Linked DNA regions of Daphnia pulex. The protein of the gene in region 1 purifies or fractionates together with the protein of each later gene. This does not show direct contact. Links are inferred from orthologs where the notes say so. Each region holds a gene or a part of one and is shown in the gene's direction. Other genes may lie near its edges. The genes, in order: ATP-dependent RNA helicase A protein-like; interleukin enhancer-binding factor 2 homolog; heterogeneous nuclear ribonucleoprotein A1, A2/B1 homolog; endoribonuclease Dcr-1-like; complement component 1 Q subcomponent-binding protein, mitochondrial-like; nuclear cap-binding protein subunit 1-like.

Region 1 (4,240 bases):
TGGCTTCAATTCAGATAATCAGTTTCAAATTTAAAATTTCCGTTTCAATTAACGTGATATTTAAAGACAGGATGTGGCAAGACATGAACCAGCTGCCGTTGGAGCCTTCTTATAAACTCAATTGGTATATTTCAATTTAAGAATGATGAAGACAATTGTAAATTTTATTAAACTGTAATTTTATTGAACTGTTTAGAAATTCAGAGAAAAGAATCTTGATGGTTTGTGCCTTTGTGGGTGGACAAGGAGGCCCTTGCTTTCAAAGCTCTTGAACTCACCATTTTCTAGTCAAAGGCGGTCAAAGGGCCATTCACAGTTTCCCAACGAACGAACCCGTGAAGCGACTTCTATTCCAGCCCTGGCTGCCCCGGCTCCCGCAACTGATAACGTGGCTATCCCACTGCCGCTAAATGAAAGCGTGAATGCTCTGGCTTCGTCTACTCTTTCCTAAGAAACTTAAAATACCTCAATGCATCAGAAGGCTCTGTGTGATTCGATTAAAAAAAAAAAAAAAATGAAAAACTGTTGAACAACCCGGAACAGACAGCGTATAATTTTAGTTTTTTTTATAACCTTCTGTGTTGAGAGAGACTGGTGTTAGACCTTCGTCAATAAATTAGTAGCCTTCCCCGGAAGCAATCATATGTTACTGCATCTAGCGACTTAGTCGAAAACTGTACAGTAATCGATTTTTTGGCAAGTAACAACAGGTTACCGAGAATATAACACCAGCTCGGGGGGGGGGGGGGATTTGATATTATCCCTTCTTTTCAAGGTTAATTACATTGATTGATTAGGTATGCCTGTGTTGCCTCGGCAGCTTTTTCTGGATTTTGGTCTTCTTCTCAGCATGTTCATTTGCAATCCCTATATAGGACCAGAAAATCCGACCCCTCGCTTTTGCTCGCGAATTTCCTCTAGGTCCTACCTTTTTTTTACTTTTTTTATTTATTTATTTTTATTTATTAAATGAATAAAAATAATTTTGTTCTTATTACATGCTGTTATTTCCCTCCCTGTTTTTAATTAGATATATCTGTAGCAATGACGGCTAAGGTGCAGCGCCCTTGCAACTCTATAACTCTATAGGTGAATAGGTCCGACCTTTTATAAATTTTTTAAAATACTTTTTTTTATGTGATATGTTTTTATTTCCCCCTCTATTTTTAACTATTTAATCATATCAGAAACAAGGGCGGGTAATTATGGCCTCGTTCAGACTAGCCTAGTAGCGGAGACTCTATAGAATACTGGCATAACCACTCATTTGGCGAGCGCGATGAGAGAGCCCTTCATTGTCATTTTCAGCCATTGCCATAAGCCTAAGCCAAAAGCCATTGCCTTTTTTTCTCTAGAAGCCTGCCCAGACGCTTCGTGAAAGGCGCCACAGCGGTGTGTAGGGCAGCGGGAATAGAGGGTGTTGGGAGTAGCCGAGGGGTAGGGCAACGCGGAGGTAGGGTTAGTGTCAATATCGATATCTTAGCTCCGTTTTTCACTTATCGGTCGCGATATTGGGAACAGCTTCGACTCTGAGAAAATTTCCGAGAGGGGGGAGTTAACATGGCAGTGGTTCCTTCTTTACTCTACTAGAACGAGAAGGAGAACTAGAAGCAGAAGGGAGGGAAGTTAACTCACCACTCTCTTCTGCTGTTTAGCCCTAAACCCTAAACACTGACTTGCTTGCAGTCTTGCAGACGACTCTAGAGAACAATCAAAGCATTCTTTTCTTTTGATCTTTTCTACACTTGTGACAGTTGTAGTTTTCGGTTAAGAAGGAATTCGTTATCAAACTATTTAATGTGTTTTGAAGAGTGATTAGTGGTTCAAACTTGTAACGATTCTTGGATATACATACATTTTTGAGAAAAGATGGAGAACAAAGGGGAACGAGATATTAAAGAGTTTTTGTATGCTTACCTGATGAAAAAGTTTAGAATTCCACCAGTTTACGTCGTTAATTCAATGGGTAACCCTATATTTACAGTCTAGAATAAAACAGCAGTGGTCTAATGATTTGCTTAATTTTTGCTGTGTCATCAGGAGATCAGAGTGGATACTACTGTGAGCTGCGTGTGAGAGGTGAGCACTATACAAGTGTGTGGATCTTCTTTTAATTACATTTCTTTGGTTTTTCATTCAAGGATTCAGTTTTGTTGCAACTGGAAGGTCAAGTTCGAAAAGAAATGCCCAAGCCAATGCTGCCAACAGCTTTGTTGCACATTTGGTTTGCCAACAAATCATGAGAGAAGAAGAAATTCCAAATAGGAATACACTTACTATAATAAAACAAATGGGACCATATGGATGTTCAGGTATGTACATTCCTTGGATAAATAATCCTAATACATATAACATGTACACACAGCAAAGTTTGAATTGTCAAAATGTCAACATTTCATGGAAAAGGTAACACAGTCATCAGTGGAAGACATGTTCAGAGAACAGATGGAGATTCCCGATTAGGGAGGGAAGCAGCTCCATTCAATCCTGGAGGATACTCTGTAGAAAATGCGAAAGCTAAACTGCATCCATTTTTAACGGAAAATAGAATCAAAACAGATTATGTGTACCAATCTTATGGGCCTGATCATCAAAAGTAATTATTGTTAATGCTTGAAATTGGGCGTGTTTGAATTAACCTAGACAGGTACAAAAAATTAAATATTTTTACAGGAGTTTTTTCGCCGAACTTCATTTTGTCTTCCGTGGCAGAGGTAAATTGAAATCATTTGCCCTAAACTTATCTTATTTTAATACTTAATGTTTATCTATTCTAAATGTTTATCTATTCTAGAAATATATGCTCGTGAAAGAGCTTGTACAAAGGTTCTGGCTTCTAAAGCTTGCGCCCTTTCGATCGTCCAACAATTATTCCAAATGAAATTTATCGGACCGGCTGGGTCTCTGGTTAGTGGTAGCAAAAAAAACCAATTGGAAACCAGACCCTTCACCGTCATTGTTCGCGATGAATTGGAGAGGGAACTCAATCGCACCATTTTGGAACACCGTCTGTTACCTAAAATAGTAGTATGTATTATTTTTTCATTGTAGTTTTTATAAGGTTTCTTTCGCCCTCCTGTTAAGTAAGGAGGGCTTTCCAAAAATTGTACCGTGGACGAATTGCCGGGTACGTTGGTTGTTAATGGTTTCAGCAGCAATACTCTCACCATTCGTTCATTGAGTATAGGCCTCCCACTTGATAAGGACAAACAGTAAAATGTGTTTTACAATCCTTTATACTTTGGTGCGCCAGAAACTAGATTGTGAATGGCGGTACTATTTGCGAACGAGATCTTTTTTGTTGTTCAATCTACATTTATAATTATCATAGAAAACGATAGTCTTTGCTTTAGAAAACAAAGCTCACGATTAGTTTTTGGTATATTTTAGAAACAGGGTTTATCCGAACCGCAAACTCTGTGGGATGAGCGACTTGCACCAAAATCTATGCGCCTTGGTGATATTGATTCCCGCCATGGGTCAATTGACATTCCGTGGTCTCCTCCTACTGCCAACTGGAACACATGGACCGCTAGTAGAATCGAACGAGGATATTACGCCACGGTATTATTCAAATTATCTCGGTTCTGAATGTACAGTATAATTTTTCCCCCTTAGAATTCATTGGATACGATTAGTCAAGACTTGTGGCAGAGACAAGAGCGTCTTTTACAATCAGATCAGAATTTTCAAAAGGCACTAGAAGAGCGCAAATCTTTACCTATTTATGCCTTCAAGAATGATGTTATGGATGCTCTTTACAATAATTCTGTCGTCGTAATTCGTGGTAATACGGGTTCTGGCAAAACAACACAGGTCAGCGTGATACCACAAGTTAAATTAGGATGCAATTATTTTTATAGCAATTTTTCTGTAAATAGGTATGCCAGTACATTCTGGACGATTATTTACGTTGTAAGGAAGGCGCCCAGTGTTCTGTTATTGTAACGCAACCACGAAGAATTTCAGCCATATCCGTCGCCGAACGTGTAGCGTCGGAGCGTCGGGAAGAAGTGGGAGAATCAGTTGGATTTAGCGTCCGGTTTGAAAGCACACTGCCTCGTCCATACGGATCAATCCTCTTCTGTACTGTTGGAGTACTTCTCCGGAGATTAGAACGGGGTCTTCAAGGCGTATCTCATGTACGTTATGTGATGTTTACCATATTTACTAACGCCCGGAAATAATGGCTTATTTAAAATATCTAGGTTATTGTTGATGAGGTTCACGAACGCGATAC
Region 2 (3,731 bases), on another chromosome or scaffold:
AAACCCTCCCATACTATAGTGAAATACAATTACAGAGTACTATTTGATAATTGCATCAGTATTGCTTTATACCTATGACCAAGCAGCACAAATTTTTCCAATCCTATTTGCTTTCTCCACTCTTCAATGGATTTCACCATTTCAGACTCAGCTTCTAAGGCATTACTGCTAAAGTGTGGTCTGCTGCTGGAACCAAAACCTGGAATAATATTGCATCATATGAAACGATTGTAATCTTAAACAAAAATGTAAAAATGTCTACCTAAAAGATCTATTGCATAAACAGGCCTCTCTCTTGCAAGGGTATCAAGGTTAAGGCACCACAATGCAACACCCGAAGCAAATCCGTGAAGCATTACCAATGGTGTTTTTTCTGCATCCTTGTTGAGCATCAAGGTCCATATTTTGTTCTCAGTGCCTCCTACACACTTCCCAATATTGACATACTTTGCCTCGTATGCAGTCTTGATAACTAAACAATCATACAGTTAATTTAATAGTGAATATGGTGACTAACTGCAAAGTGCCAACTTTACCTTTCAGAATTCTGCTCTCTGCTCGCTTAAGGTGATACATTGATGTTGGACACCACTGGATGTAATTGCTTACACTCCACCAACTATCAAAAAGTATATGAAATGGGCTAAAGATTAAAATTATGATTTATTTCGTATCTTACATACCACTTATTATCCACTTCAGCTACAGTTCCAGGAGTAACCTGTTCAATAACAGTCTGTTGATCTATTTCCATCACAATCTCTGTAGTATTCCCAGCAGAAAAACTATAGTTATGTAATAGGATGACACAGCTTATTCCTACTCTAGGCCTATGTAGAGACCGCCAAACGAATGTGGCTACTATTTATGCAAATGAATCAAGGACTGTCTGACGAGCTTAGACAAAACCTTTAAAAGTTGAAAAATCACGAGATTTTAAGGAACGAACACTATTTAAGCGTATTACAATCTGCTCGTTGTGCTGTAAATATGTTATCTCTCGACGAACTTCGGACGTACAGTTTTCTTTCTCTTTTATAAATCTGCAGCACCTTGAGTTCGTCTGCTTCAACTTTATTGATGATTGGATTGCTACGTAATGCTGACTTGAAAATTGTAAACAAACCAATTTTGAATGGAAGTGGCTATTGCTGTGGATAGATGGCTGTAGTAGCAAATGTTTGCAATAAATAGTTCTCCAGTATACTGGATTTATTGCATCGAGATTTAAATTTAATTAATTTTAAAATTATTTTTTTTGTGGTTACATTTTATATGTACATTATTCACTTTTTTTATTTGCCAGCGGCTAGGCTACGTTTGCTCTGCACATGACCACTGCATCCTGCGGCCGGCTGAGTTTCGTGGCATTTCGACATTTCGTAGATGTTGTTGTCTGCTAGGTCGATTCTGCTTTGAATTTGGTCGTCTTATTGTAGCTTTTGCAAAAGTTATTAAACGAGGTTGATAGTATTTTTATTTGAGCTCTAGTGTTGTTTGTGTCTCCATCAAACATCTCTGATTTGTAGAATCATCATGCGTGGAAATTTTCGTCGAAATTCTCGTATGTTACGGCGCGGTGGGGCCGGTCCGATATTGATGGGAGGAAGACCAATGCATCATATGTCCGGCTTTAAACCTCGTCCTCATATCCTTCGAATGCCGTTTGATATGTTTGTTTCTGAATCATTTTACCCACGACTCAAACCCCAACCTGATGATAAAGATCTCACTCAAGCTTTGTTGAAACGGCATGCTGAGCTTGTCCCTCCTGCCAACGAGCAGACTTCCATTCAGTGTCTTCTTCTCAAAGTACAGGGGATTCTTGAAGGACTTACTGTGGCCCCAGGATCCTTTGAAGCTTGCGTAAGTGCATATTTTTTATGACTTTTTGTGCCTGACAAGTAACCACCACTTATTGTGATTTTGAATTTAATTTCAGCAATTGGAAGAAGTGAGGATTGTTGGATCCTTTAAAAAGGGAACAATGGTCTGCGGTCACAATGTGGCTGATCTTGTCGTCATTTTGAAAACTCTTCCAACACATGAAGCTATTCGTTCCCTTGGGGCCAAAATCTTGGAGGAGGTGCAGAAGCAACAAGCACAAATAAGTATGTTGTTATTGGTGTACTAGTGTATTCAGTGTATTCCTTCTAAATAATTATGTTTACTTGGTTTCAGATCATGAACTTGAGATAACTGACCGAGGTTTTAACATTCTCAGCGTGACTCCGCCTGAAAATACAAAAGCGGTCGTTCGAGTTTTAATTACAACTATCGGCCGCAACTTTAGGCTCATCAGCTCATCAATGCATCTAGACATGAAATATCTCCAGTCACACTTAGCTGCCGTCCGACACAGGTAACATTTTTCTTTCAAATTCTTCTGTGGTTGTTTCGCTAAACATTTATTAATATTCAGCCGATGGTTCGAAGAAAATGTTAACCACACATCAGTTAAAGTCCTGATTCGCTTATTACGTGATATGAGGACACGCATAAAAGGACTTGAACCATTGAGCCCATGGATGATCGATCTTCTGGTAACTTTCAGTTTCTATTTATTGGTTTTCAGAGTTTACTAACTTGATATTTTTGTAATCACAGGCTCATTTTAGCGTACTCAACACCCCTAATCGACAAGCATTGTCCGTCAATCTAGCGTTCCGTCGTGTCATTCAACTTTTGTCAGCTGGATTCTTTCTCCCGGGCTCTTGTGGTAAGTAGACAAGGATAATAGTTTGCATTTTTCCAATGCGAGATTTCTTATTTCAATTTGTCTTTAGGAATACTTGATCCTTGTGAGGTGGGAGCCATTCGCGTTCACATGGTAATGACGATGGAACAGGAAGACTTACTTTGTCGTACCGCCCAGAATCTCCTACGGATCCTTTCTCATGGAGGCTACAACGCCATTCTCTGTCTTGATCAGAAAAATGGTATTTCAACTTTTAATTATATTCATTGACGCGTCAATCTTATTTTCCAAATTTTCCTTTAGTGGACCCTACTGCTGAATTGTCTGTATGGAACGGCATCGTCGTCACTCCTCAGGACAGTGTCTACGATTCAACACTATACGATAGGAAAACCGGCGAGGAACCCGAAGATGAGGAAGTTGAAGAAGTTGAAGCCCCTACAACAGAGAAAGAAGCCGATTCTGCCATCTAAAGATTTGATGTTTCCGTGTATTGACTTTCGGTGTGAACAACAATGACTAGTTCGGTTCAATTAATGACTAGAAAAAACAGATTTGTTATGAGTATTGAGAGTTAAATGCAGGGATTATCATCGCCCGTGAGATCAACGGAATCGCAATTGATTGTATCAGTGCTTTCAAGAACAGGGATTCGGAAAAGCTGCCCGGCTGGCATGCAGATGCACAACTTGTATTCAGCCACTTTTGTTGCGTTGTGATCTTCGAGTCTCCCAGTCACGGCCATGGCGTCTACATCCATTATTACGCCATCAGATCCGTCTAAAATAATGCTTCCATTGATACTGCGCAACAGAAGATCCTGGTCGGCTCTCATTACAACTTCTTTGCCCCGGATCCTCATTCCCTCTTTGCCTTTCACGCGAATGGCTTTCTCTGATCTGATAAGTAAGGAGCCTTCCAACTTGCTAGTAATCCTGTTGGCCGTGGCTTTCTTGATGTGTAAGTTCAAAACACCTTTAGGCAAACCGAAATTAGGAAAAGTTGTAGAAAATGCGCTAGTCTTTGGGGTTGT
Region 3 (3,972 bases), on another chromosome or scaffold:
ATCTTTTCGGGGTCAAGTCCTCGTTCAAACCCTCTTGGACGATTTTCTTCCTGGAAGTCACAAATAAAACGTATAAATGATCATAACCAAAGCCAACTTATTGTCGTGAAATTCCACAAACCTCCGAAGTCTTCTTCTTTGCTGGTCTTTTTTCTTCTGTGGTTTTTTTGTCACGTTCTTCAATTGGGAGTGAACGCTTTTTCTCTTTTTTGTCAATTTCTTTCTTTTTTTCCTTTTCCTTTTCTTTTCTTTTTTCCTCAAATTCTGAAATCAAAGCAGGGCAGTCTAGGTTTTCCTCAGGTTCCCAGGTATTGTCATCATCATCGTAGCCTTTCCACTTTAGGAGATATTCAACTCGGCCATTTCGTACTCTGAATTTGATAGATGACATTTGTTGGTCAATAATGATCAACGACAATATAAATATTTATATATACCTTCTATCCATAACTTTTTCAACAGAGTATTCCTCTTCAGCAGGACTTTCTGTTGCTGGAGTAGCAGGAGTTTGTTCATCCAAAACTTCTTTCTCTTTCCCTTTTGTGCTTCGGCCCATGTTGGAAATTGTGTAGCTTTTTTCACAAATACTAATTTCTAAAAGAGCTGACTTATCTGCAAATAAACAGATAAAAAGATTATATATCACGGCCACAGTGGAGTCTGATCACACGAGAAATAGACATTTTTGTTGAGGGGATTAATCACGAGCTTGGTTACATAGACGTTTCTCACCGCCACAATCGAATATAATAAATATAATAGATTATTTTGGCATGGGCAAATGATATGAAATAAGTGTAGTTTTCTGGGCATTCAAAAATATTTTGTGGCTGATGGAACCAAACTCAATTACCTTAACTTAATTCGCGTGATAAAAAACGTTGAAAAGTCTGTAACAAACCGACAAGAAATGCGTTTAGTAGGAAACCATGACTCTAAGGGGAAAAAAGGAGAGCGAGAAAAGGGCGCCAAATTTGCACTTAATAAAAAAAATAAAATAATTATTGATAAAAATATTAAGTGGTCCAAAAGATACAAGAACAAATTCTAAATTTTTCCAGCTATTTATTCTAGTTGTTTTTATAAAACATAATCAAATTAGAAGAAAAAAATAATAAAATAAATACTGATTGCTGTTGGGAAATCGTACAACTTGGCAACGTTGCAATCGAGACAAAATTTGGCAACATTGTTCCTTCCCTTCCGACTTTGCTGGATGACGCTTTGATCAAAGCATAAGAAGAAGAAGTGAGCAATCCCGGCGTACTTGTGTTACACGTTGGTTAGTCGAAAAATGAAATCCGAAACCGAAGAACAACAGCAGCAACAGCCTGAGCCGGTCGTTGAAGAAGAAGAACGAGAAACTAAACCACCAGCAACAGAACAACACACCGTTAAGGTTAGATTTTGCTTTATTAATAAATAAAATTGCTGATGATGGAACCCCTAGTTTTGCGACCCTTGACGTATTGTGAAACGTAGTTTTAAGTTCCTTGTTTATTTAAATGACACAAACATTCTATTTGATTTGTAGGAGAAACCTGAAGCTGAGCAGTTTCGAAAGTTGTTCATTGGTGGACTTGACTATCGCACAACTGATGAATCCCTGAAAAAACATTTTGAACAATGGGGCCAGATTGTGGATGTTGTTGTAATGAAGGACCCCAAGACGAGGAAGTAAGTTGATACCAGTCTTTCATACCTTGGAATGCTATTTTGATAAAGTGTTCTTAATGTTAAAATGAAAATTAATTTGGGGTAATGATTCTTTCAGGTCTCGTGGTTTTGGATTTGTAACATATGCCCGAGCTTTCATGGTAGATGAAGCCCAAGCAGCAAGACCTCACAGAGTAGATGGCAGAGAGGTTGAGCCAAAGCGTGCTGTCCCTAGAGATGTTAGTTTGTCTTACTATTGATTCTATTCTAAATATTTGTCTAACATTTTCTTAAATAGTTGATAGGCAAACCTGAAGCAAGCTCAACTGTCAAAAAACTTTTTGTTGGTGGTCTGAGGGATGATGTTGAAGAAGAGGACTTGCAAAAGTACTTTTCAACATTTGGTCCAATCGCCTCAGTGAATGTTGTTACAGAAAAAGAAACCAACAAGAAAAGAGGTTTTGCATTTGTTGAATTTGATGATTATGATCCAGTTGACAAAGTTGTTTGTAAGTACATGGCCTACATTTTTCTGGTATCTTGTAACTAAAAAAATCTTGTGTGTTCTAGTGATTCGTGACCACACTGTTAAAGGAAGACATTTAGATGTTAAAAAAGCTATCAGCAAAGCTGATATGGATAAGATGAAGCGTGGCGGTCCTTCTCCTGGATCGTCACCTTCAGGTCGTGGTGATTACCGCGGGTATCGAGATAGCGGCCGAGGTGACCGAAACGCCGACAGAGGCGGGGATTTGTGGGAACGACGGGATTCATGGAGCAACGGAGGAGGTTCTGGTGGGGGCTGGAGCAATGGAGATCATTGGGTTGGTGGAGGATCTAGTAGTTATCGAGGTAAGTTTTTAAATAAAATTGACTTATTATCACTTTTTAATCTATTTATCTACTCTTTAACTAGGAGGAAATGGTGGAGGTCGCGGTGGAGATTATGGTAATGGACAATGGGAAGGTTCGAACTGGGGTGGCAATCAAAGTAGTGGCGCTGGTTGGAGTGGTGGTTCCCCAGGTTATGGAACAAGCTCAGGTATGTATTTCTTTATCAATATTTTGAACATTAATTAAAATATAACTTTTAGGTGGTAACTCATGGGGTGGTGATTATGACAATGGCTATGGAGGGAACATGAGAGATTTCAACCAAGGAGGCGGTCCAGTGAGAAATAGCTACGTAACCGAACGATCAGTGCCATACACTCGCGACTATGGAGGTAAAGTTGTCTTAACTATTTGAACTCATTTTCTAACTTTTTTTTAGATTCCTATTGAAAGTAAAAACTTCCTCGTCATTGAGCACAATTTCACTGGACAAGGAAGAATTGAATGTAAAGGCTAGAATCAGAAATGAAAAGCCGAGTAGGGATGCGTTTAGTAATGTGAATGTGTCATGCAGTTGCAAATTTCTGTGCTTGATGAAATATCGAGAATTTAAAGGCCTTGCAGTTATGATTCCATGAAATCGGATTGACAGGTGATCTAATCTGTTTCTGATTCAAAAGGTGCAGGGCGAGGTGGTGGCTTTACAGGTAGCCCCAGTTACGGGGGTTCGCGACGTTATTAGTAGACAAGTCCCATCTTCCCCTCTAGGTAAGTTTGAGGTTTATTACCATCAGGCCTTCTAGCCCGTTTCATAGGGACAAGTTGAGCCGCAATCTGAAGAGATAAAGAATGTTGGAAGGAGACAGGTTAGGATAAGATGTGCGTTTCATCTCCTAGGTGTCGTCATGTTGTTCTGTAGCCAAACCAGAACAGGAGCAGTGAGCCAGGTCCAAGATTCATCAATTAAGTGAAGGCAGTTACAACTATCAGCCAACCAGCAGTACCGAACAAGGCCGCTAACGCTTAGCGAAAACATCCTAAACCTCGGACAGGATAGCAGCTTCGATCGACACTTAGAATGCAAGATTCAGGCAGTGTGATATAGATTTCGTCGCCAACTGCCACCTTGTCCCCTCCCCTTCTCGTAAATGGATCTTAACGTCGTTTTCTTCATTTTCTACATGTGAACTACATTTTTTTTTCTTCAGTTTTTTTTTAACACCCACGTGTTTGAGTTATCCCTTTTTTTACAACTAAATGGATGTGTAGTTGCTTAGCTTATCGTCTCGTTGGCTTAATTATTGGCGATTAGCTCTCCGACCATTGATTTTCTCTCCCAATCATATTGGACACATGTCAAATACGTGTAGGTGTGCGCCGAATCGCGAGAATTTTAAATCTAAATCACTCAATTTTTGATTTTCATCATCAATACACTTCATCGATCCCATTCTGCTGTTATTGTGCATTATTTGTTTTTAC
Region 4 (4,170 bases), on another chromosome or scaffold:
TATAGAATTTTAGCAAGGTCTTAAATATAATGGGTTGTTGTAAAATGTGACCTTTAAACTGCGTAATATGCTTTAACCAGAGATGGCTTTAACAACATTCCTACTATGTTACATTTTTCGGTTTAAGCAACCGTAGTGTGTGGAAGGCAATGTGAAGGTATATTAAAAATTTGAAAACCGCTGCTTGAACCAGAAAACTTATAGGGGTGCGTAACACGTGAAAACGCTGTTGAAAAATGGAAAACAATGAACAGTCTAGTTATGGTGAATGATCTTTCTGCGGTCGAGATTACTAGAGTTATCATAAGTTATTTTACACATTAATTGGTTTATTTTCCTAGCCTTAGCTATTCTTATCTAGCGACTAGTGTATTATTATTTAAAAAAAGGCCAATGGGTGTCCGCCTTTGGGATTTTGTTGCTGCACCAATAGACAGTTGGGTGATTGCCCTTGTATCGTTGTTATCCAAAAATGTTGAAACCGGATTTTTCTTAATCCAACCCGATTGTGACTTTAACCCAAAATATTCAGAAATGATTGATATGATTGTCATCGGTATTTTGACTAAACTATTCTTGGAAAGACAAGAGAAAAAAAAAGCACTCGTTAAAATGAATTAAAAATTAAATTAAAAACAGGAAACCAATGATAGAGATCTACAGTCCTACAGTTCATTTTCATCTCACGATCAATGACACATAAAATTGTATCCAAGTTGCCTTGTTCATTTTTATTTGCATTATCTTAGCGACCGATCTCGGCTTCAGCTGAATCCGATCGGTAGGCATACAACTACAACGTTCACACGTCCTCCTCAGACTGACCACACCAACCTCAATTACAGCGACCAGGTGCTCCGCAGTCGGCAGTCGTCGAATTCACATTTCTGTTATAAAACGTTAAAATTCGCAGAACGAGAGAAAACTGAAATGGATGTATAATAACAAGAACACTATAATTAATAAAAATTTAAAGTAGATGTGGGGAATGAAAACCCATGGTGATGCGTGATGCTGACGATAACATAACGAAGGCCGTTAGGCCCCATCATCTTGCAAGCGCGAACACCAACAATTCCGTATTGTTCGACATATCTAGAATACTAAAAAACAATTAAATGATTATATATGAAAAAATCTACGTATGATTTAGGTTTATATGCTTGTATGCTGTAGAGTTACCGATGATATCTAACATCGTATACAACTATACATTCTTTAATAAACAATCAGACAAAGTAATGATTTAAATATGTGTGTCTTTTCCTCGCTAGATGAAGCAAAATTCCCCTTCAGGGTTAAATCAACCCCCCGGTTAACCCTGCAAAAGGGAGTTTCACGGCCATGTGATATTTTAATATGGCATCGTTGTTTAAGTCATCCTCATGCTGTAAACCTGTAAACAAAAAACTTTTTACATCTGAGTTCTGATGTTCTTAAGTTGTTACTAAGCTTCAGAAATTTTCTCGAGTTTCCTCTTATGTCCATTCGTTTTATTCGCTAAAATGTTACCTCAAATGATGGATTTATCATCAAATGATAATTTTACTCCAAGAGATTTTGAGGTTTGTATAGGATTTCCATACTATTGTTAGACTTATTCTTTAACAAATTTATATTTGATTGCCATGTTTAGTTAAGAAATATTGTTTATACATTTTTTTAGGTTGAACTTTTTGAATCTGCAAAAGTTAAAAATACTATTGCATGTTTAAAAGCTGACTTGGGTAAGATGTTCATTGCTGTAATGTTAATTCGAGAAAAAGCTTTTGAAGTGTGCAAGTAAGTTATGAAGTGATGTAAAATTTTAACTCATTAATTTACTTACTGTTTTAATTAGTTCTCTGCTCTTACCCAAGGGAGGTTTTTGCTCAGTTTACCTTACCCCAACAATCAAATTGGCACTTCAGCGTTCAGCTTACTTGCGCCATCACACTCCATTGAAAGTAGGAATTTTTCATGAGAAAAAAGGTGTATTGCAGTGGAGTTCTGAAAGGTAAATTTTTATAGAAGTATTTTATGGATAAAATTAACTGTAAAACACTTAATATGTATTATTCAAGATGGACAGAGGAGTTGGGGAAAAGTCAGGTGCTTGTCATGACATATTCCATATTTCTAGAAGTCATCCACAAAAACTTTCTCAAAATGAACAAGCTTAATTTGTTGATATTGGATGACTGCCATAATGTTATGAACAATGAAGCTTTAAAAGGAGTTTTAACTCTCTATGAAAATGCAGCAAGTAGTGTACATCCAAGAATCCTTGGATTAACTGCATCTATTGTAAATAACATATGCAAGCCGATGGAACTGTCTCAGTTGATAACTATTCTGGAAACAAAATTAAAATCGGTTATTTCGACTTCCAACAACGTTTTGTCAGCCTTGCAGTAAGTATATGGTGATTAATTCATTTAGTGTGGGCATGATGAAGTCCAATATGCTATCTGCTTGCTGACTACTTTTGTGGAAAATTAACTCTTCTAATGTTTTATTTAATCTAGGCATTCAACTCGACCCAAAGAATTGATATGTGAAATATCGTCCAAGTATGAAGCCACAGAGCTGCAGCAAGAAATAATGGGTCGTATTCTTTTATTGAATGATTATCTGCGAGATCATCGATATGATCCCGCTGAGTACTATGGGGAACAAGATTATCTAAAAGAGATTCCTAATCCATGTCATGAACCTCTTGATCTACTTGAAGAATACATCCAAATCATTCAAAATTTTGGTGAATAATCACAAATATTTTTATAAGTTTTTTTATTTATTTTTAGAAGTTTACGTTAGACGATTTTAAAAATTAATACAATATAATTGACCTAGGTCCTTGGGGAGCAGACCGTGCTGCTTTGGTATACCTCATTCATTTAGAAAAATTGAAAACGAAAGCAGTTTATGAAAGACACTATCTTCTATTATGCCTTGTCTTCACTGTTTTACTTGAAATAAGGTTTGCGCTTTTAAAGTACACATTTCAACGTACTTTGTATACATGATATATATATATTTACTTTCTAGATCATTGTGCGAAGAAGAGTTTCAGAAATACTCTGAATATGAACGTATCGTGAAGTTTAGCCATCCCAAGGTTCTTCGCCTGTTGGACATTCTTCGGATCTACCGACCGCCGATACCTTCCGTGCTGCCCACAAGTGCTGAATTAGTAGAAGTAAGCGATTCTTTAGTTTCGTCCGAAGGGCAAACTGTTCAGACCCCAAAGTTGGCAACCGAAACGTCGCAAACCGCAGAATTAATTGAAAACGGTCCAGCGATTTTGCGTCAATCGACAACTCAACCAGGACACACTAGTCGACGGCGGCGTCCTGATTTCTCAAATCGCCATCACCGAAATCGAGAAGATGCTTACCAGCTCTGTGGGATGATTTTCACTGAAAGACGTACTACAGCAAAATTACTCTACCATCTTTTAAAGGTTCCACAACGACAAAATTCTCGTATTGCTATGTAATATTTAATGCCGAATATTCATTTACATTTTTTTATAGGATGCAAGTCGTTGTGATCCACAACTAGCTTATCTAAGCCCGTTGTATACGGTTGACCGAATGGAAGGCGTGAGTGTCAAAGAAATGGAGAATGAAGAAAGAAAGCAAGAAGACGTCATGAAACGATTTCGTAGTCGTGATTGTAACATTCTTGTAGCCACTAGCGTATTAGAGGATGGAATTGACGTTCCGGCATGTCATCTGGTTATTCGTTACGATTTACCACAATCCTACCGGGCTTACGTTCACTCAAAAGCTCGAGCTCGCGCTAAAAAAGCACATTACATCCTCATGGTCGAAAATGAGCGCATGGATGAGTTTTTAGTGGATTTATCTCACTTTCATGCAACAGAACAAATTCTGTTAAGTAAAAGCGGGTATCACAATTCGGTTGCTGAGTTTTTCAACCACAACGAAGATATGCTTAATTGCATTCAGGCTCCCTACCCTTCTGATGAAACTTCTAATTCGTATGCATCTTTGCAAAACGCGATTTCTATAATTAACAGGTATCACATACTTTTTTAATTCTGTAAAACTAGGTTTCATGAAAAATTTCTGTTGTAGATATTGCGCAAAGTTGCCTAGCGATTGTTTCACACGCTTAACCCCTGTGTGGAGGATACGTACCATAAAACGAGAATTAATTGAA
Region 5 (4,175 bases), on another chromosome or scaffold:
CTTGCAATTGTGCTGCCAGATTACTTATGTACTCCTTTGCCTCGCAAAGCTCTTTCTTCAGATTATCTATATCGCTGTTACAAGCCTTCAATGCAACTGATTTTTGTTCTAGTTGGTATCTCAAAGAGGTTACTTCCTCAACGGAGTTGCGACAATTGCAAGTTGGGCGTAAATTGTTTGGGGCAGCAACATCGGGGAGAATATAGTCACAGTCGTCCTTAGTTAGGTCTACAACTTCGTGGTTTGCACTATCGCGAGTGACTCGAGCAGTTGAAGCTTGGGCTTGGGCTTGAGCAGCTGGTTTTCCCGAATCCAAAATGTTCTTCTGGTGATGATTAATTAGATTCAGCAATAAAGAACTCAGATTAGTGTCCTGAGCGGTGGGGTTCTTTTTAAGCATCAGGTCTCGGATGTAAGTATCGATGTTGTGCAGATTTTGAGATATCTAAAGAAAAACCAAATCGTTAAAAATCGCAAAGAAATACTGAGGCAACTACAGTAATAAATTACTAGTCCATTTTGAGGAGCTGGCGATGATGGTTCCATCATTTCCATTCGAGATACGACCTCCGTATTTTTTGGCAATACAGGACAGGAAGGGTTTGCAGATTTTGTTTGTGCTGCAACAGTTGGTGAAGTTTTAGCAGGTTCACCTTTTTTCAGAATCAAAGTCTTGGCAGCAGGTTGTAGCATTTTTAATGGTTCAGCTACGTTGGTTTTGAGGGCTGGATCTGTTGAAGAAAAAGCTTTACACTTAATAGTCGGAGTCGAGTTTCCCGCGAGTTTTGGTTGTTGCTGGAGTGTCGTGGAAGAAGGAGGAGCTTGGATTTGCTGTACAATCTTTCCAACATTCTTTTGTACGATGTGAGGCGGAGTATTTAATGATGACTTTAGCGTTATCACGGTTCTCGAAGTTTTATCAAATGCATCTTTTCTCACAATCAAAATCTTGGAGGGAAGTTTCACGGTGTTTTTCAATGGTTCAGTTACTCTTTTAGGAGCATTGCTATCTCTGCTTTTTGGCGCAATTTTGACAGGCGTCGATTTTCTTCCTGAACCTTGACCGATTTGACTTAACGATAAAAGCTGCAGAAATTCGTTCTTTGAAACAGATGGTGCCAAAGGGGTAACTTTATCCGTAGACGCAACAACCAAATTTGCCTCGACGTGTTGTTGTTGAGCGGATGGTCCGGAAATTATCAGATGACCGTTGGATACTGTTGGTGAAATGCTTGATACAGGCGGTAGAGTATTCGACATATCTTTAACTTCGGTTGTGATGGAGTCATTTCCTGATGTGTTGAACTGTTTACTAATTTCACTTATTCGCGTAAACGACGTGTCGAAATGATCCTCAGCAGAGGGTAGTTGCATATCGATTGATTCAATTTGATTTGCATTTGGTTCAGGCAGCACCTGATTTTTAAACATTGTTATTATTTGGTGAAGTTCTAGGTAACAAAAAATTGTCTATACCTTGTTTTTTTTATTATTCTTTCTTAATAAAAGAGCTGCTTCTCTCTCTGCTATTTTAATTTTTGCTTCTCTTTTTGCCTTTTTTATGGCAAGTCTCTTTTTCTTCCATTTCTTTTCTCGAATTTTTACCTCGATGTCTTTGGCTTTTTTCTCTGCTTTCGTGGCTTTTTCAATAGCCTTCTCTTTTTTCTTTTTAAGTATTGGTAGACGACGACTACGCCTCTGACTCAATAATCTTTTTTTTTTAACTATACATGAATTTACAACATTGTAGTCAAAGCAAAGGTTGAAAAAGGTGATAATGACTTAGACACTATCGTACCTGAAACAGTTGTCTTCCATTGGTAAGCAGTTGGTGGCACTGTTGACTGACAGTAACTGTGCTCTTCTGTGGGGGGTGGAACAGGTATGATTTTTGGAATCGGAATGTTTAAACTTGGCACCCAATCCACACCTACATCAGGTTTACCTATATAGATATTGAAATATGATCAAATTATTTTCACACATATTCTATCTAACATACCTGATACAAAATGTTTTGAGCAAACTAAAATTGGTTCTCTTTCCGTATCAGCTTCAGTAAGACCCAATGCTTTCAACCACAAAGAACGTCTCTTTTGGATTAATTGTTTTGTCAATTCACACATAGGCCCAGCTTTTACCTTTGGGATACTTGGCATACTAAAGTATTTTTCATTTCCGTTACCCGATGTAACAGATGTGCAATATGGACTCAGAAAACATCTGTTACGAGGTCCCATCTTAAAGACGATTGAATATTAACTAAATATTCCTTTTATTGTTTTCACAGTTTCGGAGGGAGTTTGAGTTCAGTTTAAGTTGTAAACAAAAACCCACAACAATTAATCGATAGTGGAAAAAACTCGATAATCGATATATTTCCTCGTGGCTTCTGCTTTTGCCAGAAGATTCTTGTCTTAACTTGCAGTCTTGCTCTTGCACCACAGTCCCTTGCAGAATTATTATTTAATTCGCTGATAAAGTTCATCTTCGTTCGCTCTATTCATTCTTTAAAATCTCAATTTGTAAGACTCTGTTAAAGTTCAAAATCTCATTCCCATAATGTCATTTTCGGTGATAAATGTCGTTCGAAACGTTTCACGCCATGCGTTACCGGCGTCCATGAGGTCTATCCTGTCGAAACCCATTACCAGGTCTTTGTGGTACATGTCTAATCCCACAAATCAATTTGTCCCAACAAAACTTTCTCCAGCATTCAAACATACTCCCCTGAGCCCTTCCTGCCCATGTGGAGAATGCAGAGGAGTTCATACAAGAGGTAATACATTTTAACCATTTCACGTCACATTTAAATACAGCATAATATATGTTGCATCATAGGGGACAAAGAGCTGATTGAGTTCCTCTCAGAGGAAATTGCTGCTGAGAAGAAGGGAATGAGCAAAGCCAGGCCTGTCGCTAACTTGGATGGATTTGATGTTAAACACAATGGTTCAGAGATAGTATTGTCTAAGAAATTTAATGATGAACAGTGAGTAAATCTTTATGGGACAATTCTAAATTGAAACTTGTGGCTTAATTTTATTCATTAAACAGAATTGAGATAACAGTTAACGTCAACCATTCTGTTGATGCTGACATCAGTGAGGAAGTTGACAACAAAGCTGACAATCCTCCCCAGGCTGAAATGAAATCAAAACCACACTTTGAAGTCAAACTAATGAAGGGAAATCAAGTAACCAGATTTGCCTGCAGTTACATTCAAGATGCAGGAGAGCCTGTTGAAGATGCCCCAAGTAAGTGTTAATTGTATTTGAATAGCCAACAATATAAATAACACTCGATTTTTTCAGATGACATTTTCACTATTGATGAACTTGCAGTATATGAGGACAAACATAATGATCAGACTTATGCTGTCGCTGGAGACATTCTTGATGGGGTATATTTTAAAGTCAACAATATTTTAACCAAATTAAACTGATATTTCACATTTTCGTTATAGTACATGTACGACCTTCTGATGAATCTGCTCGAAGAACGAGGAGTATCCAACGAATTTGCTGAAAAGCTGAGCGATCTAGCTACCAAGCGGGAACACCATCTATTTATTAATTTGTTAGAGAGCCTTCAGTCTTTTGTCCAAGGCAAATGAAAGGTTTAGAATAGTTTTGAGATGAAAAATAAAAAGCTATGTAGTCATTTTGTTTAAAATGCTGATTTATTATTTATGGTTTTCCAAAACAATGGTTATTTAGAACCATCAGGGGTCTTAAATTCATTTTCAGTCCCCATTACTTCTTTTTCTATTTCTTTAAGGTCAATATTCTGTTCCTGGATTGCTTTCTAAAACAGAAAAGAGTAGATAAACATCTATAAAAGACAGAAATGTTGGACCAAAATTAACTTACCCTAACACATTCACGATACACCTTAAAGAAAGGACCACATGAGTCTGTTGAATGATCCCCTCTTAAGAATTTTTCTGTGAACCATGTGTTGAAACATGCATCATAATTTTGCTTCAATTGGCTACAGGCTTCACTTACACTATTCATGGTACAAATTTAACCTAGAAAAATAAAAATACAATAATCAATTAACATACTTTAAGAGCTTTGTGTGTCCCACACTTGTACCTTTGAACTGTAGATGAAGATTGGGCAGGATAAGCAGAGATCATTAACAAATTAGAGCACTTTTCTTGATTGAAA
Region 6 (4,265 bases), on another chromosome or scaffold:
AGAAACTGAAAAAGGGTTCTGTGACAGCCAGGGAAATGGTGAAAGATTAAGCACAAACAATTCTTTACCAGGTATGGCTCATGTGGTTGTTAGCAGACTTCCATTCATCGTTAATTTTATTATTCACTCTTCATTGTTCATCATTTCTTTTTGTATTCAAGTTGTAGTCATTGCAGCGGAATCTTTATCCACCAGTTCAGTGAATAACAGTAGTGTCCCATCAACAACAAATCCTGCTGTGGAGAAAAGTGTGAATGCGGGCCGTAAACGGGCCGAGAGCACACGTACAAGAGACTCAAGTACGAACAATTCTTTACCAGGTATGGCTCATGTGGTTGTTAGCATACTTCCATTCACCATTAATTTTATTATTCACTCTTCGTTTTAATCATTTCTTTTTGTATTGTAGTCAATGCAGCGGAATCTGTAGGCCTATCCACTAGTTCAACGGATGACAGTTATTGTGTGTCAAGCAATCCTGCAGGCTTAATCAATGCCGCTCATCAAGCTGATGTTCGTTCCATTCCATCCACAGTTTGCACTACGAGCCAAGTTGTGAATTGTAGCCAAGGTATACGGACGATTCGGCAAATTTGACGTTTGCCGAATTGGTTTTTGCCGAATTGGTTGACTTTGTTATTTTCCCGAATCGTACATACCAATTCGGTAAAAAGCCAATTCGGCAAAATTGTTTAAAATGCCGTTGTAAGGCCAGTGGCGCTAGCTGTGTGGGTTTCGGGTAATCAGCGCCACCACCAACACGCGAATTATACTGTCTTTCCCGAGAGATCTTTGAGCCCTTCCCGACATAAACACAAAACAAAGTGGAACCTGCTTTAACTGCCCATTCTTTTTTAGAAAACCATGGAGGGAAAATAGTTGAGTGAAAGGGAAGTTTATTATTTTAAAGGTTCCGTCGGCATACCATCGAACGGCAGTTTTCAAAAGCGCTAGTTGTTCGTCAGTCATGAAAATTAAATGACGTTTAGAACCAACTACAACTTCTCCTTTAAAAAACGAAGTGGGCATTAAGTCCATTTTGATTTGAAAAAAAAGATCAATTGGGTTTTTAGCAGTGCGCTTTGCTTTTACCCGATTTACAGCCCTAGCTAACGTTGTGGGGTTAATTGGGTTCCACAGTATTTGCCGCCAATTTACATTTGCACAGTTGCCGAATCGACTTTTGCCGAATCGGTAATTTCATAGGTGACAATTCGGCAACTTTGCCGAAACGGTTTTCGGCGATTTGCCGAAATGGTTTTTGCCGAATCGTCCGACATTCGTAGCCAATTTCACCTAAATTGAATTCAACAAATCCCATTTTTGCGTGAATTTAATTCAATTCAGCTGAATATAAACTGAATTGAATTTTTGCGCCAAATTGCGTTGCCTAAAATAAACAATTTTTACAGCTACGTTGTCAAGTTATGTAAACTATTTTCACGATCATCGAAGTTTATGATTTCATCAATAGATGGCGTCAAATTAACAGCTTCTTTAATAGCTCCATATGACAAACAGTCAAACAGGGTGGTAGTAGTTTGTCTGTCTTGTAAGCGTCGTAGACCAATTTAAAATAAAATCAAAGAATGAGTCGTAGGAAACGTGATGATGGATATGGTAAGGATTACAACTTATTGAAGAATTTGATGACATTATAAAAAGTTATTTGTTTAAAATTACAGAACATGGGTATCGTAAAAGGCGCAGAGTTGTCTCGGAGCAGGCAGAAATTGAAGACCGGTTAGAATCTCTTATTATCAGGGTTGGAGACAAAACGTCATCATCTTTAGAAAGCAATTTAGAAGGGCTTGCTTCAGTATTAGAAGCTGATTTGAACACGTACAAGAGTAAAATATTACGTATTTTGTCGGAATGCCCAATCCAAATGCCAGAGAAATGTACTATCTACAGCACATTAGTTGGTCTTCTGAATGCTAAAAACTATAATTTTGGAGGAGAGGTTTGTTTTAAAATTGTACTTTCAGTTTTTAAGATACAAGTATATCTTTTTTTAGTTTGTGGAACAAATAGTGAGAAACCTAAAAGAAGCTCTCCGTGAGGGGCAATGGGAATCTGCTCGTTTAATTGTACGTTTCATATCTGACATGGTCAACTGTCACATAGTCTCTGCCTCTTCCTTGCTACAGTTATATGACAGTTTTATTGACGCTGCCATGGAACAAGGAGTTCCTCAGGTTCGACGAGACTGGTAATTAAATTTTTGTTTTATTCTAAAGCAAGAGTAATGTAGATCACAACACTGTATCAATTTACAGGTACATGTATGCGTTGTTGACGGCGCTTCCTTGGGTTGGTCGAGAGCTTTTTGAAAAGAAAGAAAATGATCTTGAACGTATAATGGCAGCAATGGAAGGTTATCTTCGCAGAAGAAATACTGCTCATGTCGCTGCTCTTCGAGTTTGGAATTGTGAAACTCCGCACCCACAGGTCAGAAATGGCATGGCATTTTAATAATAATTGAAAAATTTCGAAAAACGTTCTTTCTAGGAAGAATACCTGGAATGTCTTTGGGCTCAAGTACGGAAATTGCGGACAGACGAGTGGCAGGAAAGACACATTTACCGTCCATATTTAGCTTTTGATTCTATCCTCTCTGAAGCTTTGCAACACAATCTCCCGGTCATTCTACCTCCGCCTCACACAGCTAGTACGCAATATCCGCTACCATGGGTTGTTTTCAGGATGTTTGATTACACTGACTGTCCAGAAGTAAGTTAAACGCTTTCAAAAGTGTGTATCGTGCGTATTTAACTCGGGACTCATTTTCAGGCTGGTCCACTTTTACCAGGAACTCATTCAGTAGAGCGTTACTTGATTGAGGAACATTTACACCAGATCATCACTCGTCATCATAACGAACGCAAGGAACTGTGAGTTTCAACTTGACAGAAACGTTTGTGCAGATAATAGTAAATTAATTTTGCTTTTCAGAGCCACCCAATTGTTGGCGTTCCCACAGAGAAATAAGATCCCTTTGGAATACATGATAGTTGAAGTTCTCTTCTCAGAACTTTTCCAAATGCCTTCCCCTCGTTACTTGGAGATTGCTTATGGTTGTACTTTGATAGAACTTTGCAAGCTTCAACCAAGTACAATGCCTCAGGTGAAAATATGATCTTACAGTAGAAACTTGAACATTTTCATTTGACTTTTTATTTCACAACCAGGTGTTAGCACAGGCTACGGAGTTGCTTTACGAAAGAATTGATACCATGAATGCCACCTGCTTTGATAGATTCGTTTCTTGGTTTTCTTACCATCTCAGTAACTTTCAATTCCGCTGGAGTTGGGATGACTGGCAGAATTGTCTTTCACTCGAAAAAGACCACCCCAAGGTAAATGTTTAAAAAAATGAAATTTTTCGAAATCTATCTAAAGGAACACTTAAATTTCAGGCAAAATTTGTTTCTGAAGTGTTCGGGAAATGTTTGAGACTCTCCTATCACAAGCGCGTGACTGAAATGGTGCCTGAATGTTACTCACCGCTGTTGCCCCCGAAACCAGAACCGTACTTTAAATACCAAATTGAAGGAGGAAATGGTTTTCCTGGGGCTGCTCAAGTCCAGACTTTGACTGAGCTCCTAAGAAAAAAGCCAACGCCTGAAGAAGTACTAGAGTTGGTCCAGCAACTACCGAATCCTCTCAAAGGTAAATATGGTGGATACAATATGTATAACTTCAAGCCATTTTGATGCAATTGTAATTAGATGACGACGGGGATATGGAGCCTTCACACAATCCTCTAGCAATTGAAGTATTTGTTCAGACTCTGCTACATTTGGGATCGAAGAGTTTTACGCATACTTTTGCAGGTCTCGCTAAATATCATTCAGTCTTCAAGGTATTTTCAACAGATTGAAATGTTATCGATAGTATAAAACGATTCAATTTTACGTTTCTGTCATAGAATATTTGTGAGAATGAAGAGGCACAGATCTGTATGCTTCGTCAAGTTTATGAGCTCTGGCAACACCACCCACAATTTTTAGGAGTGGTAGTTGATAAGATGTTAAAGACACAAATTGTTGAGTGTTGTGCCGTAGCAAATTGGATCTTTTCACGAGACATGGCACCCGAGTTCACTCGTTCGTACATTTGGGAGGTCTTGCACTTGACTATTCGCAAAATGAACAAACACGTCGTCCGTCTAGAGAAAGAGGTGGCGGATGCACGCGCTAAACTCAGAGCTGCACCATCTGATTCGGAATCATCTGATGAAGATCCATCTAGAGGTGCGAACA

Evidence for each region.
Region 2: the proteins of ATP-dependent RNA helicase A protein-like (region 1) and interleukin enhancer-binding factor 2 homolog fractionate together in Homo sapiens (co-fractionation; 5 studies listed by BioGRID and IntAct, with this or other methods). This does not show direct contact. The link is inferred for Daphnia pulex from reciprocal best matches to the Homo sapiens genes DHX9 and ILF2.
Region 3: the proteins of ATP-dependent RNA helicase A protein-like (region 1) and heterogeneous nuclear ribonucleoprotein A1, A2/B1 homolog purify together in Homo sapiens (affinity purification with mass spectrometry; 4 studies listed by BioGRID and IntAct, with this or other methods). This does not show direct contact. The link is inferred for Daphnia pulex from reciprocal best matches to the Homo sapiens genes DHX9 and HNRNPA2B1.
Region 4: the proteins of ATP-dependent RNA helicase A protein-like (region 1) and endoribonuclease Dcr-1-like purify together in Homo sapiens (co-immunoprecipitation; 3 studies listed by BioGRID and IntAct, with this or other methods). This does not show direct contact. The link is inferred for Daphnia pulex from reciprocal best matches to the Homo sapiens genes DHX9 and DICER1.
Region 5: the proteins of ATP-dependent RNA helicase A protein-like (region 1) and complement component 1 Q subcomponent-binding protein, mitochondrial-like purify together in Homo sapiens (affinity purification with mass spectrometry; 3 studies listed by BioGRID and IntAct, with this or other methods). This does not show direct contact. The link is inferred for Daphnia pulex from reciprocal best matches to the Homo sapiens genes DHX9 and C1QBP.
Region 6: the proteins of ATP-dependent RNA helicase A protein-like (region 1) and nuclear cap-binding protein subunit 1-like purify together in Homo sapiens (co-immunoprecipitation; 3 studies listed by BioGRID and IntAct, with this or other methods). This does not show direct contact. The link is inferred for Daphnia pulex from reciprocal best matches to the Homo sapiens genes DHX9 and NCBP1.

What each region holds. Positions count from the first base shown.
Region 1 is NC_060025.1:4,801,691-4,805,930, forward strand, and holds the start of ATP-dependent RNA helicase A protein-like, read left to right. Parts: upstream 1-1,440; 5' UTR 1,441-1,869; coding exon 1,870-1,966; intron 1,967-2,040; coding exon 2,041-2,079; intron 2,080-2,141; coding exon 2,142-2,312; intron 2,313-2,406; coding exon 2,407-2,596; intron 2,597-2,673; coding exon 2,674-2,714; intron 2,715-2,794; coding exon 2,795-3,027; intron 3,028-3,093; exon of another isoform or gene 3,094-3,210; intron 3,211-3,390; coding exon 3,391-3,564; intron 3,565-3,618; coding exon 3,619-3,816; intron 3,817-3,881; coding exon 3,882-4,142; intron 4,143-4,208; coding exon 4,209-4,240. UniProt on the Homo sapiens protein: Multifunctional ATP-dependent nucleic acid helicase that unwinds DNA and RNA in a 3' to 5' direction and that plays important roles in many processes, such as DNA replication, transcriptional activation, post-transcriptional RNA regulation, mRNA translation and RNA-mediated gene silencing.
Region 2 is NC_060024.1:13,504,772-13,508,502, reverse strand, and holds interleukin enhancer-binding factor 2 homolog, read left to right. Parts: upstream 1-1,311; 5' UTR 1,312-1,463; intron 1,464-1,529; 5' UTR 1,530-1,536; coding exon 1,537-1,866; intron 1,867-1,942; coding exon 1,943-2,111; intron 2,112-2,181; coding exon 2,182-2,362; intron 2,363-2,422; coding exon 2,423-2,543; intron 2,544-2,607; coding exon 2,608-2,719; intron 2,720-2,786; coding exon 2,787-2,939; intron 2,940-3,001; coding exon 3,002-3,171; 3' UTR 3,172-3,231; downstream 3,232-3,731. Other genes in the region: (Lyso)-N-acylphosphatidylethanolamine lipase-like, read right to left, coding at 1-13, 73-199, 263-472, 537-619, 684-754; beta-sarcoglycan-like, read right to left, coding at 3,273-3,731. UniProt on the Homo sapiens protein: Chromatin-interacting protein that forms a stable heterodimer with interleukin enhancer-binding factor 3/ILF3 and plays a role in several biological processes including transcription, innate immunity or cell growth.
Region 3 is NC_060019.1:11,840,388-11,844,359, reverse strand, and holds heterogeneous nuclear ribonucleoprotein A1, A2/B1 homolog, read left to right. Parts: upstream 1-1,172; 5' UTR 1,173-1,294; coding exon 1,295-1,399; intron 1,400-1,534; coding exon 1,535-1,677; intron 1,678-1,774; coding exon 1,775-1,895; intron 1,896-1,954; coding exon 1,955-2,165; intron 2,166-2,226; coding exon 2,227-2,508; intron 2,509-2,572; coding exon 2,573-2,698; intron 2,699-2,750; coding exon 2,751-2,882; intron 2,883-3,170; coding exon 3,171-3,232; 3' UTR 3,233-3,258; intron 3,259-3,387; 3' UTR 3,388-3,940; downstream 3,941-3,972. Other genes in the region: chromobox protein homolog 1-like, read right to left, coding at 1-50, 122-371, 438-556. UniProt on the Homo sapiens protein: Heterogeneous nuclear ribonucleoprotein (hnRNP) that associates with nascent pre-mRNAs, packaging them into hnRNP particles.
Region 4 is NC_060018.1:8,404,954-8,409,123, reverse strand, and holds the start of endoribonuclease Dcr-1-like, read left to right. Parts: upstream 1-1,370; 5' UTR 1,371-1,505; coding exon 1,506-1,565; intron 1,566-1,666; coding exon 1,667-1,782; intron 1,783-1,840; coding exon 1,841-1,996; intron 1,997-2,063; coding exon 2,064-2,393; intron 2,394-2,507; coding exon 2,508-2,740; intron 2,741-2,835; coding exon 2,836-2,962; intron 2,963-3,030; coding exon 3,031-3,445; intron 3,446-3,518; coding exon 3,519-4,027; intron 4,028-4,085; coding exon 4,086-4,170. UniProt on the Homo sapiens protein: Double-stranded RNA (dsRNA) endoribonuclease playing a central role in short dsRNA-mediated post-transcriptional gene silencing.
Region 5 is NC_060026.1:13,819,527-13,823,701, forward strand, and holds complement component 1 Q subcomponent-binding protein, mitochondrial-like, read left to right. Parts: upstream 1-1,416; 5' UTR 1,417-1,476; coding exon of another isoform or gene 1,477-1,724; 5' UTR 1,725-1,798; coding exon of another isoform or gene 1,799-1,945; 5' UTR 1,946-2,002; coding exon of another isoform or gene 2,003-2,240; 5' UTR 2,241-2,562; coding exon 2,563-2,779; intron 2,780-2,841; coding exon 2,842-2,992; intron 2,993-3,057; coding exon 3,058-3,257; intron 3,258-3,314; coding exon 3,315-3,403; intron 3,404-3,466; coding exon 3,467-3,616; 3' UTR 3,617-3,675; downstream 3,676-4,175. Other genes in the region: uncharacterized protein LOC124203752, read right to left, coding at 1-445, 511-1,416, 1,477-1,724, 1,799-1,945, 2,003-2,240.
Region 6 is NC_060022.1:6,378,315-6,382,579, reverse strand, and holds the start of nuclear cap-binding protein subunit 1-like, read left to right. Parts: upstream 1-1,465; 5' UTR 1,466-1,589; coding exon 1,590-1,620; intron 1,621-1,685; coding exon 1,686-1,963; intron 1,964-2,018; coding exon 2,019-2,212; intron 2,213-2,279; coding exon 2,280-2,451; intron 2,452-2,511; coding exon 2,512-2,733; intron 2,734-2,793; coding exon 2,794-2,894; intron 2,895-2,955; coding exon 2,956-3,127; intron 3,128-3,191; coding exon 3,192-3,359; intron 3,360-3,419; coding exon 3,420-3,672; intron 3,673-3,731; coding exon 3,732-3,865; intron 3,866-3,931; coding exon 3,932-4,256; intron 4,257-4,265. Other genes in the region: uncharacterized protein LOC124196162, read left to right, coding at 1-71, 162-320, 410-597. UniProt on the Homo sapiens protein: Component of the cap-binding complex (CBC), which binds cotranscriptionally to the 5'-cap of pre-mRNAs and is involved in various processes such as pre-mRNA splicing, translation regulation, nonsense-mediated mRNA decay, RNA-mediated gene silencing (RNAi) by microRNAs (miRNAs) and mRNA export.